4 linked regions of the Xenopus tropicalis genome follow. The protein of the gene in region 2 interacts with the protein of the main gene of each other region in a pairwise test. Links are inferred from orthologs where the notes say so. Each region holds a gene or a part of one and is shown on either strand. Other genes may lie near its edges.

Region 1 (3,092 bases), on a different chromosome or scaffold from region 2:
TGTTCACTCTGCCCTTTGGCAAGATACAGCTGCAACTGGTTTAATTTAAGCATTTTGATTTCCTATATTTTCCTACATTTAGGACACAGAAAGTAATACAAATGTAATTCCACGTATAAAGTATTTTGCCTGATTGCTATTGGGGGTTTTCCATGCAACAATGCATTAAATATATGAGATAAAATCACATCAACATAAAAAGATAAGGACAGTTAGAACAGATGATATGAGCATGTCAAGGCCAATAGGTTAGAACCAGCAAATATTTGTTAATTTTTAATTTCCTGCCCCGTTGGAGCTCACAATCTAAGGTCCCTGTCACACACACACTGGGGTTATTTCATTAGCCATCAGTTAACCTGCCTGAATATTTTGAATTACTTGGAAAAATTCAAGAAATTTCAGCTTCTGATACCCAGCAGCATTTTGTTCGTGTTTTCCTCCTGTCCTTAAAAATGTCACTGCCCTGTATGGTACCAAGGATAAGTGCCTAACATTCGGATTTTTTTTGTCCAGTTAGTCATTACGTTGCTGTGGTTTTTTTTTTTTAATTTCATTCTTAGTCCTATCCACACGCTTCTAATCTAAGGATATACATTGGTGTACAGCTGGCATCCATGCAGCTATGGAACTACAACTCTCAGCAATCTCCAACAGCCAATAATGTTTAAATAACATAGCAACAGCATGGCCATTCCATTCCATACAGTAAACACTATAAACAACATTTTCTTTAATGGATGAAATAGATACATTGTTTTTTAAATGATTAAATAGCTATTTCATGTGAGTGTATAATGTGGCATGCTTATATTTCTGTATATGATGCTGTCAAGTTGTAAATCCCTCATAGACACTGATTTTTAGTTAGCAATGTATCAAAACCTGTGCGGTTATAAGATAAGAAGCGTTTTCTTCTAGCTCCAGTTCTTTTCATTTGGAGTTTCTAATCAAGGCCTCTGAAGAGTAAACCTATACTTAGACGTTTACACACTTCCATTGTAATAACAGCAGTAACAAACTCATCTCTGAAAGTAAAAGAAATGTTTTACTGCACAGTTGGGTCCATATTTGAACTTATTTGCAGGATAAAGCTGGTTCCAACAGTTACAATTGGGAATGCAATATTGGGTACGCTACACTGCTTGCTTAAGCAAATGGAGGTCCTGTCATTCAACTGTCTCTGCACTGGGAAACAGGGTAAACATTTCCTTTTGACCCTTTTCACAATGGTCCCCTCTCCAAAAGATCATAAAGAGCGAGCATAGACTTATCTCATATCCACTAGAAAACTCTTTCTCCAGAGTTCAGTCATTCTTGCAGACAAGGAGCAGCAGCAAGTTCCTGCATGGAATACTCCTGTGCCCATCTACTTTGAAGAATAACTATTTTCTACTTTCTCAGCGGGTGAGGACTGCCAGCTTTACTAAAAAGAAATTCTCTTTCTTCGCTTTAACAGGATTTAAAAACTCAATTGGTTTCCCTCTGGAATGTCCACGTGTCCTATGTTTCTGTGTGTCTGTTCCTATCAACATTACGATGAAACTATTTTTTCGCTGTCTTTTTTTCCTTTTTAATCCTGTTACCTCCTTGGATATAAATGTGAGAGTTGGCACTTGTTGTGCTGTAGGGGCTATTTCCACAAAAGGCTTGACAAGTACGTTTCACTACTCACTAGAAAATTGTGCAACTGCAACAGGTGGAATTCCAAAAAGGTTTATTAGAGTCTGATCTTCTTTTGCTTTTTGATTGATGATCTGATAGATTTCTTTTTACAGAGAGAATCCCCCTGCAATGATGAGTCCAGCTCAAGGTCTGAACCTAGGGGACCGTTTCTATGACTTTCCTTCATTTGGAGACAGAGCCATCTCGTTTCATGAAGATGTCTCTGCCATAACCAGATTTGAAGATGAGGAGACAGAATATGAAGAGGATTTCACACTTTATTCTCCAATGGGCCGCCCCAAAAGAAAACGAGTGATCACATATGCCCAGCGCCAAGCTGCCAACATCAGAGAGAGAAAGCGGATGTTTAACCTCAACGAAGCCTTTGATCTGCTCCGAAAAAAGGTACCAACTTTTGCCTATGAGAAGAGGCTTTCCCGCATAGAAACGTTACGCCTTGCCATAGTGTATATATCCTTCATGACCGAAATGCTGAAAAACTCTGAAAATAAAAAATAGGACATGTGACAATGGCGCCAGTGCCCATGTTTAACATATACATTCAAACAAATACCTGTTTATGGTCCAGCAGTCAAAGTGTGTTCTTCACCTTTCTCTTGGGCCATTCTAGTATAAATAAAATACTCCCATGGGATAGCGTTAATACAAGAAAGGGAGCTGAAAATGAGTTCACAGCCCTATGTACTAATATTGTAAATAAACATAAATGTTTTCAGATTCTACTATTCAACATAAAATGTAAACTAATTTTATTTTTGTGCTTAATATTGTATTTCATTATATTACAATGATGTATTATCTATCTACTTTAGTAGATAAACTATGTAAAAAAATGAGACTTTCTGTGGAATGTATTGATAAAAGTGTATCTTGTATAAAGATTAAATGATAAATTAATTGTAACCAAATTTTAGCATGCGTTACTCATTTTATATGATAATATGAAGTTTACAAATAATAATTAATAATTAAAATAGAGGTATGGGACCTGTTATCCATAATGCTGGGGTTTTTTTGGATAAGGGATCTTTCTGTAATTTGGATCTCCATACCTTGTCTACTAAAAAAATACTTAAACAATTATTAAATCCAATAGGATTGTTTTGTCTGCAGTAGAGATGAATTATATCGTATGTAGGATCAAATGCATTTTTATTATTACAGAGAAAAATCAAATCATTTTTAAAAATATAAATTATCTGCTGATGGAGTCTATGGGAGATGGGATGGGAGAATAACAGGTTTCCAGATAATGGATCCCATACCTGTAATAAGAAAAATATAATTAGCGCCTTGATTAAAAAGAAATGAACTATTTGTAAAAGAAATTAAAATAATGAAATCATATTAAAATAATAGTAGCTGTTTTTCTGAGCATGGTTATTATATTCTTTTTAACATGGTAT
Region 2 (3,481 bases):
TTTTATTTCTGCTCACATTTTGGTTTGTCATAACTGCACAACAAAAAGCTTAATTCACAAATAGGAAAAATGAAGACCAACTGCAAATTGCTAACTAGGTAAGCTAAAAGTTATCAAGCAAGGACCAATGTGAATATTTAACAGACTCTGTAAAGCACATTAAGGTTATCATTTACTGGCTAGAAGAATTTAGATATTTTAAAATTTGCCCTTTTTGACACAAAACAACCCCCACCACAAAAAAAACCTTTGTAAATATCTCTCAAGTTAAGGGGCATCACTGATTTATTCAATAATGAGTAAATGAAATGCATGATTTTTACATAATATTGTATATTTTATCTATACTTGGTCATTTTAATATCCCTTTAGCGGTGATCCTGCACAATTCTGTGAGCCATTTCTGCGCATACAGTGTCCATTGCCACAAACGTAAAGGTTAACATGAATTTTGTACGTTAGTGTTTGTAGTCAATTTTAAGAAAGTTACCATAAAGCAGCAATGTTTGGTTAGTTGTTAACAGTGATTCATTCTTTATTAAAACACCTTTATAATACAGTTGGCTGGAGGATTATGTTCTCATTTAGGAGCATTTAAATTACTTAAAACCTGTGAGATCTTTTAATAAGACTTCTGAGACACTGGTAATTGCTTGCAGAGAAGAGAACTCTAAAACTATAAAATGTTAGGAGTGATTTTTCTCTTAAAAGTAAATGCTCATTTTCAGTCATAGACCACAGATCATTTTATTATTGTAATGACAGAACCAGAAGATTGAGTCTCCATCTAACAGGTTTCCTATTTAACTACAGGAAATGTCTCTTGATCCAGTTGTAACCTTCCGGTTATCACATTGATGTTAAAGGTCGCCACACCCAAGACATACACCACTGTTCAAACGAAATGCAGACAGTAATAGCCATGGAGGAGAAGAAAACAACAACATATTGTGGATTTTCTTTTCTTCAACAGGAGCAAAAAGACTAAATGTTCGTACTGGATCAGCCCTTTGTGCTACCCTATGGCAAGTGATGCTTAATGGATCTTTAAAAATGGTAGTAAGGAAGTGGGTAATGAGGTAAGAAAAACGTTTCTTCCAACAAAGTATGCCCAGAGCAACTGTTCGCATAAACCGCCAAGGAAGACAGACCCTATTGTAGTCACTCAAGTACTTTCTGCCCATAATCCAAGAAAGTAATACAATATCCTTCAGCCTGCCAGCACTGCTCATTCTTGTTGCTCATCATGACTTGAACTTGGAGGTCGACTTCGAATCTGACTGCGCAATTGTTCTATCAGCTCTGGATTCTGCTGTTGCATCTGCTGAGCAAACTGTTGTCCTCTAGGAAACAAAAACAACAGAGTGGTTTGGAATTACTTTTATAACCTGCTGAAAAGGTGCAATGTTCTTATTATCTGATAATTATCCTTGCTTTAAAATAAAACACTATGGGGCACATTTACAAATCCACGAATCCGAATCACGAATGGGAAAAAAATCGTATTGGAAACGAAAATTTCAGAAGATCGCAAATATCACGAAAATGCTTACGAAAAAATAGTATTAGTCACGATAATATCGTATTGGCGATCCGAAAGTCACAAAATTTTCGTACCGAACAATTGTAAACAGCTCAGCAGCCATTTGCCTATTAAGTTTGAGCTCCACCTTCAAAGCTAAAACATTTTTAGGTTCCTCCATTGTGGTTCTCCTGCATTTCCAATCAGAAGATTGTTAGGAAATCAACACTTCACTGTTCCTAGGTACATGGTACGCAATGCACATGGGCACTGGTATCCTACAACATGGGGTGGCTTTACATGCATGCACTGTACCCTGGAGGAGAAAGCAGTGGAGGGCTATGCTGACAATCTTAGAAAGTTTAAGTTAGGGTTGTGTCAGTGTTCAGCAGTACAACAACTCCATCTACTATCATAAACTGAACAATGGCCACAAGCTGACAGAATTAACATTAGACATACGCTTGTATAAGACTGGCCAAATCATTTGGAGGAGTGTTTCCTGCAGCTGCAGCTCCAGCCCCAGCCATTGGTGTGTGGCCACCAGAGATCATTCCTGACATTCTGAAAAGCAAAGATAATGAGAACATGTTATTTTCAGGATATTCAGATAAAAAAACTGAATGCTTTTGTTTTACACACAACTACTAAATGTGTGGTTAAATAGAGGATACCAAATACAGGGTTTTCTGTTTATTAAGCCTAAAAGAACATAGGCAAAATGTGATATTGTACAAAGAATGGGTCTTTGTTGATTATGGATTATGATGGAATATAATTATGATAATATTATGATAATCATATTGTGATGTACGTTTCTTTACAAGTGTAATGCTAGGACCTCCTAGCTCTAACTGAACATTTATAAGTTATAATAAAGTCGTGACTTTTGCAAATGGAAAACGACTTAACTGTTTCATAATGGCCCAGGAACCTTTTAAGACACACTGGGGATAATGAGCCTATGATTAAGTACCATCATGATACAAACATGTCAGGCAGTAACTTTTTTTTTTACTCAACTTCCATGGTTGCAGGAGTGCTTGCTCGTATGTGGCTTAAGGCATTGGGGATAATGTACAATTGTACAGATAGTTAACAACTTAAACAAAGTATATCGCAGCTCCACTGCAGATTACCCACTTCATAAGTGTGGGGTTTGTGATTTTTGTAAATTTGCTGTACACCGCCACAGAAACTGTCAGCACTAACCTTTTCTGTGCCCAAGATTTTAGTGTGTGCCCTGCACTGAACTTTTAGTACAATAAATGTGTTTAACACCAAAAATGACAAAGATAAATGGTTACATTGCTAGCTACAGAATGTCACCTAACATTAGTCCATCTGCCCTGTGGGGTCAGTGTGTGCTGGAGTGGAATGACACTTTTCTGTGGAGTCTAAATCAAGAATAACCTACCAACATAACTTCACAATATAGTACCCTATATGCATACCTTAACCTCCCTTAATTTAATTCTGAAAACAAAATGAGACCCAAAAACAATTATTCTAAATCTATACATGGTATACAATACCCCTTAAAGGAGAAGGAAAGTTACAATCACTGGGGGGAAGTAATGTGCCAAAATGTTAGGCACCCCCAGTGATTGTAATCGCTTACCTGAAACCCCTGGCCAGTGCCCCTGTTAGGAGAAAACTGCACCAGCCGGGGTGTATGCGACCAAACAATCCTCTTCTTCGGTCTTTGTGTATACGCAGTGCAGTGGAAAGTCGGCCTTTTGCTCAACTGCACATGCGCGGACCCTGGGATCTTATCAAAAGGAGAAGGAAGGAAGAGGATCACTCTCCTGCATTAACTCCTGGCCAGTGCTCCTGTTGGGAGAAAACTGAACTGCCCAGAGGTTACTGCAGGCAAGTGATCCTCTTTCTTTCTTCTCCCTTTTTAGGTAAGTTATTACAATCAATGGGAGTACCTAACGTTTGGAACCCCCCAGTGAT
Region 3 (3,980 bases), about 84 Mb from region 2:
GGGCAAAATGTAAAAGCTGGAGAAGCAGAGGGATGCCTACTGTGTAGCATAAAACTACATTGGATAGAACTGGAATTTTATCCAAATCATTTTGCCTCCAATTGTTAATGGTATGGAGGATAATACAGCTTAAAATGGCAGTAAATGAACCAAAATAATACACAATATTTTCTGTTTATTTACATGCTTCCTCCTTTTGCATAAACAAGGAACAAAATGGAATATTAATCTTTGATGCCTACTTCCTTTCATACAGTGGGTGATACATATACAGTATGTCATACACTGGGGCATAACCATAGAGGAAGCAGACCCTGTGACTGATGGGTAGCCTACAATTAATAGGGAGCTCAGCGGGGGGCTGGCTGATGAGTTTCTATACATGTTTATGAAATTGTCTTATTCCCAAAGATAAGGGGTTGTTAAATAATTTTGTGGTGGGGATCAGTAACATTTAGTAGGTAATCACTTCTTCTTTTCATTTCTGCAATACGTTATAGCTTTACTATATCTCTTACTATAGTAAAGCTATTACTACAACTTTATTAGTATCTTTTCCAGTAAGGAACTCTTTTTCCAAGTGGCTGCTGTAAGGATATGTTTAAGGAGGCTTAGTACTTTTAAAGAGAGAGTTCTCAGACCCAAATAGAATGCATTCAGGTTAGCTTTGATCCTGCAATGAAGGAAATAGCAGACCAACTCTGCCACCATCTCCCAAAAGCTCAGGGTCACTCAACAAGTCCACCAAAATATGAATACAGGATCCCCCTATAGCCATGGGATAGCCAAGGAATCAGGTTAGACTGATCCAACAAATATATTTAAGAGATGCTGGGGCATAATATCCCCTGCATTGTATCTGGTATGCTATTTTTGGTAGCACATACAGATGTTCTTCCCTCACTCTCTCAAATGGTTCTCCAGCTTTTCTCAGTACAAGTATGGTACCAGAATGCTTGGGACCTGGGGTTTTCCAGATAAGGGATCAAGCATAAGGTACTGTTTTATTATTACTGAGAAAAGGAAATTATTTTTAAATTGTGAATTATTTGATTAAAATGGATTTTATGGGAGATGGGCTTTCCATAATTTGGAGCTTTGTGGATAATGGGTTTCTGAAAAAGGGTTTTAATACCTGAATTGGCATATCTAAATCTTAATTAAGGGATACAAAAGCTGTGTTGTATCTGCTGAAAGGCTCACATATATCAAGGAGAAGGCAAATCCCAGTATAGCTTGCACATTGACTCTCAATGTATGCCTCCTCAATTCATTTATATTGTATATTTTTATTATTATTGTTCCTTTTTTGCCAATTTTCAGCCTGCAAATGAAAATGCTATCTGGCTCTCAGCCTTATTCACCCAGAATTTTAAAACAGATTGAGGGTTCAATAATATTTCTATTTTTTTGTTGCTTATAAAAGACCTCTTTTGTTTATCTCCAAACTGACTTCTAAACTACTGCCTGGTTGGTAGGGTAATCAAGACTTAACAACTAAATAAAAGTTGAATGCCAAACCTGGAAGTTGTAGAAAAAAATGTAAATATTTCATGACCAAATGCAAATAGCCTTAGAATAGTACTGTCTACATCACACTAAAAGATAATTATAAGGTGAACTACCTCTTTAAGAAGGTTGAGAGGGTAATTTGCAAAAATAAAATTGAAAAACAGACCTGTCATATACTTCAGTCATGGATAGTTGAGCTGGGGATGGGTCATCTTGTACAAAAGCAGGATTGTCCATTGGGTAGATGTTATAATACTGAGGGGGACCTAATGCAGTCCCATTAGCCCATGCAGAATGGTTAGAATTGGGATTAGAAGATATGGGTGTTGCACCTCCTGTAAAATCGTGAGTTGAATAGGGGGGAGGAATATACTGTACAACAGTAGCACCATGAAAAGTTATGGGTTGATTTATTCCAGTAAAAACAAAAGATTGTCCTCCTGAAAGCTGCTCAGTATCTAATGGCGTCTCTTCCGTGCTCTTGCATGGCTTACATGATGTCAGCATCATAAACTTCCCTACAGAAATCAGTACAGCCATCGCACCCGCAATCAGCAGAATGGGTCCCACTAACCGAGTCCAGTCAAAACCAGTTTGCTTATTGTTCACCCATGCCAGCACAGTTAAAGCAATCCCCACTAATGCCAGGAAGATTCCAGAGAACAGCAGGGTGCCCCAACCTTTGTCCCCACTTGAAACATGGGCATCAGATTGGTTGCTTGGATAAGATGAGATTGAAAAAACATTTGGAGCAAAATCATCATCATGTCTGTCGTTCTGTTCCATTCTAGAATGCCTTGTGTTCCCAGCTACGGGATGGAAAGGCATTCCGAGCCTTTGCCAAGGTAAAAGTTCAGTTGTTCAGTCACATGATCACTGCGGCTTGTCTGATAAAGCAATAGACTTTAGCAGCAAGGGATAAAGGTCTGAGCATCTGAGATAGAACAATACACATGCATGACATGGCAGCTTTGTATTCCCAAACCATACTTATTGCAAAAGAGACGCTACCTGCCAACTTGGAAACGTGGTTTGTTTGTTTGTTTACTCTTATCCCACAGCCACAGTCCCTTCCCACTGTGCAGACTTAAAGTCTAGCATGGCTGCAGACCCTCACAGACAAAGCTCCCAAACTATCCTCTCAGAGGCTATTTCTTTGTGGTCTAATGAAGTGGATCTTGTATGTGGGACTCACAAGGGCACTACAGAAGCTGCAGGACAAGTAGGTGCTTTATTCTTTTTTAGCACCTTATAAATAGCTTTATCAGCCATTTTAGTAATCATTTTTAGCTCTCACTCCTGCCAACAACCACCAATTGCCAAGACTGCTAAGAGACAAAGCATGAAGGGATTCTGTAAAAAGAAAGAAGGGAATCCTTGGTCAATCTAGTTGTGGAAGGGAAAGTAAACATTCTCAAAATAATTACAAGTTCTGGTTTTACTTAACTGGCTATATTTAAGTAATAAATACATATAAAGTACATAATATCATAATTAAATAAATATTAAGTTCCTTTTATTTTATTGAGCTAAGCCGCTCCCACTACAGCTTCCCAGAAGGGGGCGCTCCTGTGCATTGTTTAGTTCTAGTGAGTCAATGACATTTCATAAAAACAGAGATTAAAACTAAGATATGTTATTTTCTGATAAGTCTCACATTATCCTTCCGAACACTTTTATTGAGTTCTAGGTCAAATGTCTCCTTTGTCTCTTGGCATAAATAACAGCACTATAATTAAAGTCTTGATGGAAAAACAAAGATTAAATTCTTCAAAAATGCTGAACCAGAAAATGAACAGGCAGTTCCTTACATAAAGGAAAACGACTATCTGGTGACATACTTGATGGGTTCTTTGAGGTGGCCCCTAACCTTGTTTATGAGCCTTTAAAGTATTCATACATGGGCCAACTCCATATGCTCTCCAGCAGTTTGGCCATGGGGAATACCTCTCCAAAGAAAACTTTCTGCAATACAATACACTAAAAAACTGTCTGTGTCAAATACTTTTTTATTGTTCAGATCATTTGGGGCTGAACAAGCTGAACAATATAGTACATAGATGTTGTACATGCAGAGACAAGGGGTCCTCTGCACTCACCCATTATCCATATAAATTGAACATTAAGACATTCAGTGCACAAGGCTACCAAGCAATGCCCTCCCCTTTAAGCAAAACAAGGATTGTTTGTCCATATATTGCAATATATTCAAGCTGGCCAACTATATTAAAGTCATCCCTGGTCTGGCCGGTCCTACGCTCACTTTTATCTGATTTATTAAAAGTTCTATTACTTCATTATACATTTTAAACATTTTACCTGCAACTTGCTTGCTTTTAAGGTTAAAACTCCCAAATGGTTGCCTTTTTCATTGGCTCCACTGGAATCACCTGACTGTATCTGGAAGGTGAAGGGCAGGTCTTAGTAGCTTAATGCACTGAATGCCTCAATGTCCAATATATATTGAT
Region 4 (3,988 bases), on a different chromosome or scaffold from region 2:
GAACATGGTAGGGCGGCTCCTTATTCATATATCCAGCTCTCTGTGCTGTCCTGCCAGCAGACAAGCTCATCGGGTTGGAACCAAAGAGCGATCTCTCGCTGGGCGCTCTCCCTGGAGTCACTGCCGTGTATAACGTTCCTGAGGGAGAAACAGAGAAACCCCATGAGCATGTAGGGAAATAAAGAGGGATGCAAAGAACCCTAAAAAGCAGAGTAGCACGGTGGGGTTGGCGGCTGTCACCTCATGCCACTTAATTTTCTCTTCCCAGTGATCTCGAGCCAGAAGCATGCAGAGTTGAAGATGATGAAGACCTAGCTTCAGGTGCACATGTTCCAGGTCAGCAACCGGTCAATGAAGAGAACATCAAGCAGTGTGAGTTGGTGCCCACCACATCCACGACTCCACTGAGGGTCTGCAGTGGTGCAGCTCAGGGAGGGGTAGTGCCGAGACTCTCGGTACTCATGTTACAAATGGCTCCAGGACCCCATTACTTTCCCAGTGGACCTGCTTCCCTTATTGCTATGCCCTAGTGCCACCCCTTCATGCCATCCACAAGGAGGAAAAGTACTGTACAGAGCCTTCCCACGACTCCCTCAACCTAACTGAAAAGTCTGTGTTCAAATTTACATTTAATACACCAAACACATTTCTACACTAAATCAAAGATACAAAGATACTATAGTTAATCTCTATCTTCTTGTTGCTTTATAATTCAACAGATATTTTTGTTTTGAATTTAGTGTAACCTAAGCTTCCCGGAGCTCTGGCATACACCATAAACTTGAAGCTCATTTTATTAATACGGCATCATCTATTAGTAGTCCATTGAATGACAGTGGCTCAATGCGGCTATCTCCAAACCCAGTGAACTTACCTGCCGACATCTACACAGAAATCCCCTCGGATTGTGCCTGGCAAAGAGTGAGCTGGGTTTGTCTCCCCAATCATTAGACGGGCAGTCTTAACCACATCCAAGCCCTGCCACACCTACGAGGGAAAAGGAAATCGTATGAGAGGAAGGGCACATCTGATAGCACCACAAGGTGGCAGTAGAGAGGGTTGGAGAGAAACCTGGTGTGGCAGGAAGAAGAGATGTAAAGCTACAGAAGTGGGAGGAATATATATATATATATATATATATATATATAAAATGTATATTAAGGTAATAAGAAAACCTTGCGATCCTTACCATAGCAACCACTGGTCCGGAACCCATGTACTTCACTAGACGGTCATAGAAGGGCTTGTCCTGCAGAGCAATGTAATGCTGCTTGAGCAGTTGCTCCGAGGCCTGCATCCAAATACACAGAATTATAACCCCTCAGTTTTCTCAAGCCATAGAATATTTGCTCTTTGGCACTAATATGGTTAAATCCCACTTAACCCTTCTGAGTCTGTTTCTGTAAAGGAAGGGCACTATATGACTGCTCCTAATGAGGATGCTGACTATAATGCAGGTCACAATTACTTATTGCAGATCTGTACCCTTCGTATTTACAAATTCAGGTGATGAATGAAAATCACATGGGAGTTTTCACCTGATTCCCACAGACAGATATGATGAGAGGCTATTTGGAGCACTCTGACTCCCCAGAATTGCTATGTGTGCCATAATCCTCAGAGAGGCTGGACCTGGCTCTGTGTAATCATAGAACCCAAAAGTATTTTATATTCTCCTCCTAATATCAATCAGAAGGTTCTACATGTCTGTCTATCTCGGTCATCAGTAGAAACTGGGTTTTACAATATCACCTGCATTATCTTCATCGCCACCAGATGGAATCCCTTTTTCTCAAAGCGGCGTATGATCTCGCCAATCAGTCGCCTTTGGTACCCATCAGGCTTGATGGCCAGGAAAGTGCGCTCATTAATCCCTGTCCAGGCTGCAGAAGACCAAGCAAGGAAAGCGCATCACAGAAGGGAAATGCATTACCTCTATACAAATAGCAGTTACTTTTAGCCGCAATGCCCTTTACTGACCAATAGAGGGAGCACATATACTACTGCAGCGCTCTGGATGCTGAATACTGCCCAATACGATGGTTTTCCCACTTTTCAGATTTGGTACGAGCCCCCTTACCATTGAGGTCCAACCTATGGTCTGGGCCTGTTAATCTATAACACGTTTATTTATATACTATCTATCTATATATGAGTTGAGAACCATAGGACTAATGAAAAGGGGTCTGTATATAGATGCTGCCCAGTTGGCCAATGCCCCTTCCTTGTACAGAAGGGCTAAGCAGAACATGGTGCCCAACAGATCCAGCCGACTCCTGGCAGTTGTACTTTTGTTGGCACAGCTATTCCATAAGGAAACTGCTGACAAAATAAAGAATTATCCCCATGTGACATTCCCCCAAGGGCACTTATTTCCATGCACATATGTTCAGAGAAAGAAAATAAAACATTATTGGTTGCTAAGGTAATCAGCCCCTAGCAACCAGATGCCCCTTTGTCCCCAGATTTACTGATACACCACTCCGCTACTCCATAACAGGGATCCGAAACCCAGGGCCGGCAGGGCATGCTGGGAGCTGTAGTCCCGCCTCCGTTGAACTAACTAGTAAGAACAGAAAAGCGATCGCTCCCTCTCCATTCAGCCTCCCGCGTTTCACACTACAATCAGCTCCGAGTGTTTGCTGGATCCCCCAGGGGTTTCCCTGATCCCTGCTATCGATCTACTCCAACCCCCCGATGGGTCCCACCTGTAGGGAAGATGTGGGCGAAGATGGTGAGCACCAAGCAGATCATGGCGAGAGCGGAGAGAAAGGGCGGGAGCGAGCCCGCGGGAAGAGCCAGCAGCAGCGGGAGCGCGCACGCCGCCCATAGATAGCGCCGGGCTTGTCAATCATGTGGCTGTGGGGATGCTGGGAAGTGTCTGGCTCTGTATAGCCGGCTCCATTGCCTTATCCACTTATCCATATGATACCCTGAGGAGTTCCCTTTGTCTGATACAGAGCAGCGGTATAATAAATAAAGAACCCCATGAGTGTGTACACTAACATACAAGAATAATTAGCCTGGGTCTTCACATTTAACCGTATGGGCTCGGCATAATGCGATTATGATGGCAGCGTGTGGGAGTAACAGGCTAATCCTAGGATTTGTTTAAAGGGGAGCTTAGAGCGAAAAGCTGTTAGGGGTTTTGTTATTCTTATTGTTACATATACAGGGTGTCACATGATGCTGAGTAGTTATTGCTACACAGGTAAAAAAATTATAACATTCCATTTAGGGGGAAGACACACAGAGCTACTTAGTAGCAGCTACTTTTTCACAGGCAACTAAACTCCAGAAAATCCCCTGCCATAGACAATACTGAGAATTGCCTCTGCTAAAACACACATAGATACAATTATCAGTAAAAGATCAGCATTGTCTATTTTAGTAGCCAAGACAAGTAGCTGCTACTAGTAGCTCTGTGTTTCTTCACCCTTAATTGTGAAGATGGTCAGCAGATCATATTGATGCCTCATGCATTCTGCTGGGATTTAGCATAATCCAGTTGTGTCACATTTATGGGTATATATCAGAGCACACACTATGGCAGCAAGATCTGAGCTCAGCTGAAGGGGCTGAGGTACATTGCCATGTAGATTCTTTTTTAACCATTTAGAGATATCTATTTAAACCGACCCGCAAAGAGTGTTAGGTATTAGGCACTGTACTCTTTAATTAATAGAGAGCATTCAGGTAACAAAATATTCAATTGTATTCAAAGCCAAACCTATGCATATAATATATATTTACATATATGAATTTAAAAGTAATCGAAAAACTGTACCGTTTAAATTCAGTTATACATTTGGTCAAATCCTGCAAAAAGTTCTGGCATTTAGGCAAATCCAGGATCTGGTATATTCCTATTTATTGCATGTAGTGATGTGTGGGCTGGCCCCAAACCCGCTGGACCCGCAGGCCGACATCCTCACAGCTTCTGTAAGGTGCCCATACACGTTAAGATTTGATTACTTGGCGAGATTGC

What was found. The genes of interacting proteins can lie anywhere in the genome.
Region 1: the proteins of sgta (region 2) and ferd3l interact in binary tests that used the Homo sapiens proteins (3 or more experiments, as listed by UniProt). The two-hybrid records come from large-scale screens. The link is inferred for Xenopus tropicalis from reciprocal best matches to the Homo sapiens genes SGTA and FERD3L.
Region 3: the proteins of sgta (region 2) and tmem174.2 interact in binary tests that used the Homo sapiens proteins (3 or more experiments, as listed by UniProt). The two-hybrid records come from large-scale screens. The link is inferred for Xenopus tropicalis from reciprocal best matches to the Homo sapiens genes SGTA and TMEM174.
Region 4: the proteins of sgta (region 2) and nme3 interact in binary tests that used the Homo sapiens proteins (3 or more experiments, as listed by UniProt). The two-hybrid records come from large-scale screens. The link is inferred for Xenopus tropicalis from reciprocal best matches to the Homo sapiens genes SGTA and NME3.

What each region holds. Positions count from the first base shown.
Region 1 is NC_030682.2:38,476,583-38,479,674, reverse strand, and holds ferd3l (fer3-like protein), read left to right. Parts: upstream 1-1,340; 5' UTR 1,341-1,794; coding exon of another isoform or gene 1,795-1,797; coding exon 1,798-2,184; 3' UTR 2,185-2,589; downstream 2,590-3,092. UniProt on the Homo sapiens protein: Transcription factor that binds to the E-box and functions as inhibitor of transcription. DNA binding requires dimerization with an E protein. Inhibits transcription activation by ASCL1/MASH1 by sequestering E proteins.
Region 2 is NC_030677.2:99,266,574-99,270,054, reverse strand, and holds the end of sgta (small glutamine-rich tetratricopeptide repeat-containing protein alpha), read right to left. Parts: intron 2,087-3,481; coding exon 1,985-2,086; intron 1,344-1,984; coding exon 1,229-1,343; 3' UTR 506-1,228; downstream 1-505. UniProt on the Homo sapiens protein: Co-chaperone that binds misfolded and hydrophobic patches-containing client proteins in the cytosol. Mediates their targeting to the endoplasmic reticulum but also regulates their sorting to the proteasome when targeting fails.
Region 3 is NC_030677.2:183,103,201-183,107,180, reverse strand, and holds the start of tmem174.2 (transmembrane protein 174), read right to left. Parts: upstream 2,804-3,980; 5' UTR 2,341-2,803; coding exon 1,679-2,340; intron 1-1,678. UniProt on the Homo sapiens protein: Regulator of plasma phosphate homeostasis. Decreases serum inorganic phosphate (Pi) uptake by regulating the sodium-phosphate cotransporter SLC34A1 trafficking by PTH and FGF23 in the kidney.
Region 4 is NC_030685.2:21,449,950-21,453,937, reverse strand, and holds the start of nme3 (nucleoside diphosphate kinase 3 precursor), read right to left. Parts: upstream 2,804-3,988; 5' UTR 2,755-2,803; coding exon 2,709-2,754; intron 2,675-2,708; exon of another isoform or gene 2,084-2,674; coding exon of another isoform or gene 1,981-2,083; intron 1,884-1,980; coding exon 1,753-1,883; intron 1,292-1,752; coding exon 1,190-1,291; intron 988-1,189; coding exon 875-987; intron 139-874; coding exon 21-138; 3' UTR 1-20. UniProt on the Homo sapiens protein: Catalyzes the phosphorylation of ribonucleosides and deoxyribonucleoside diphosphates, other than ATP, into the corresponding triphosphates with ATP as the major phosphate donor.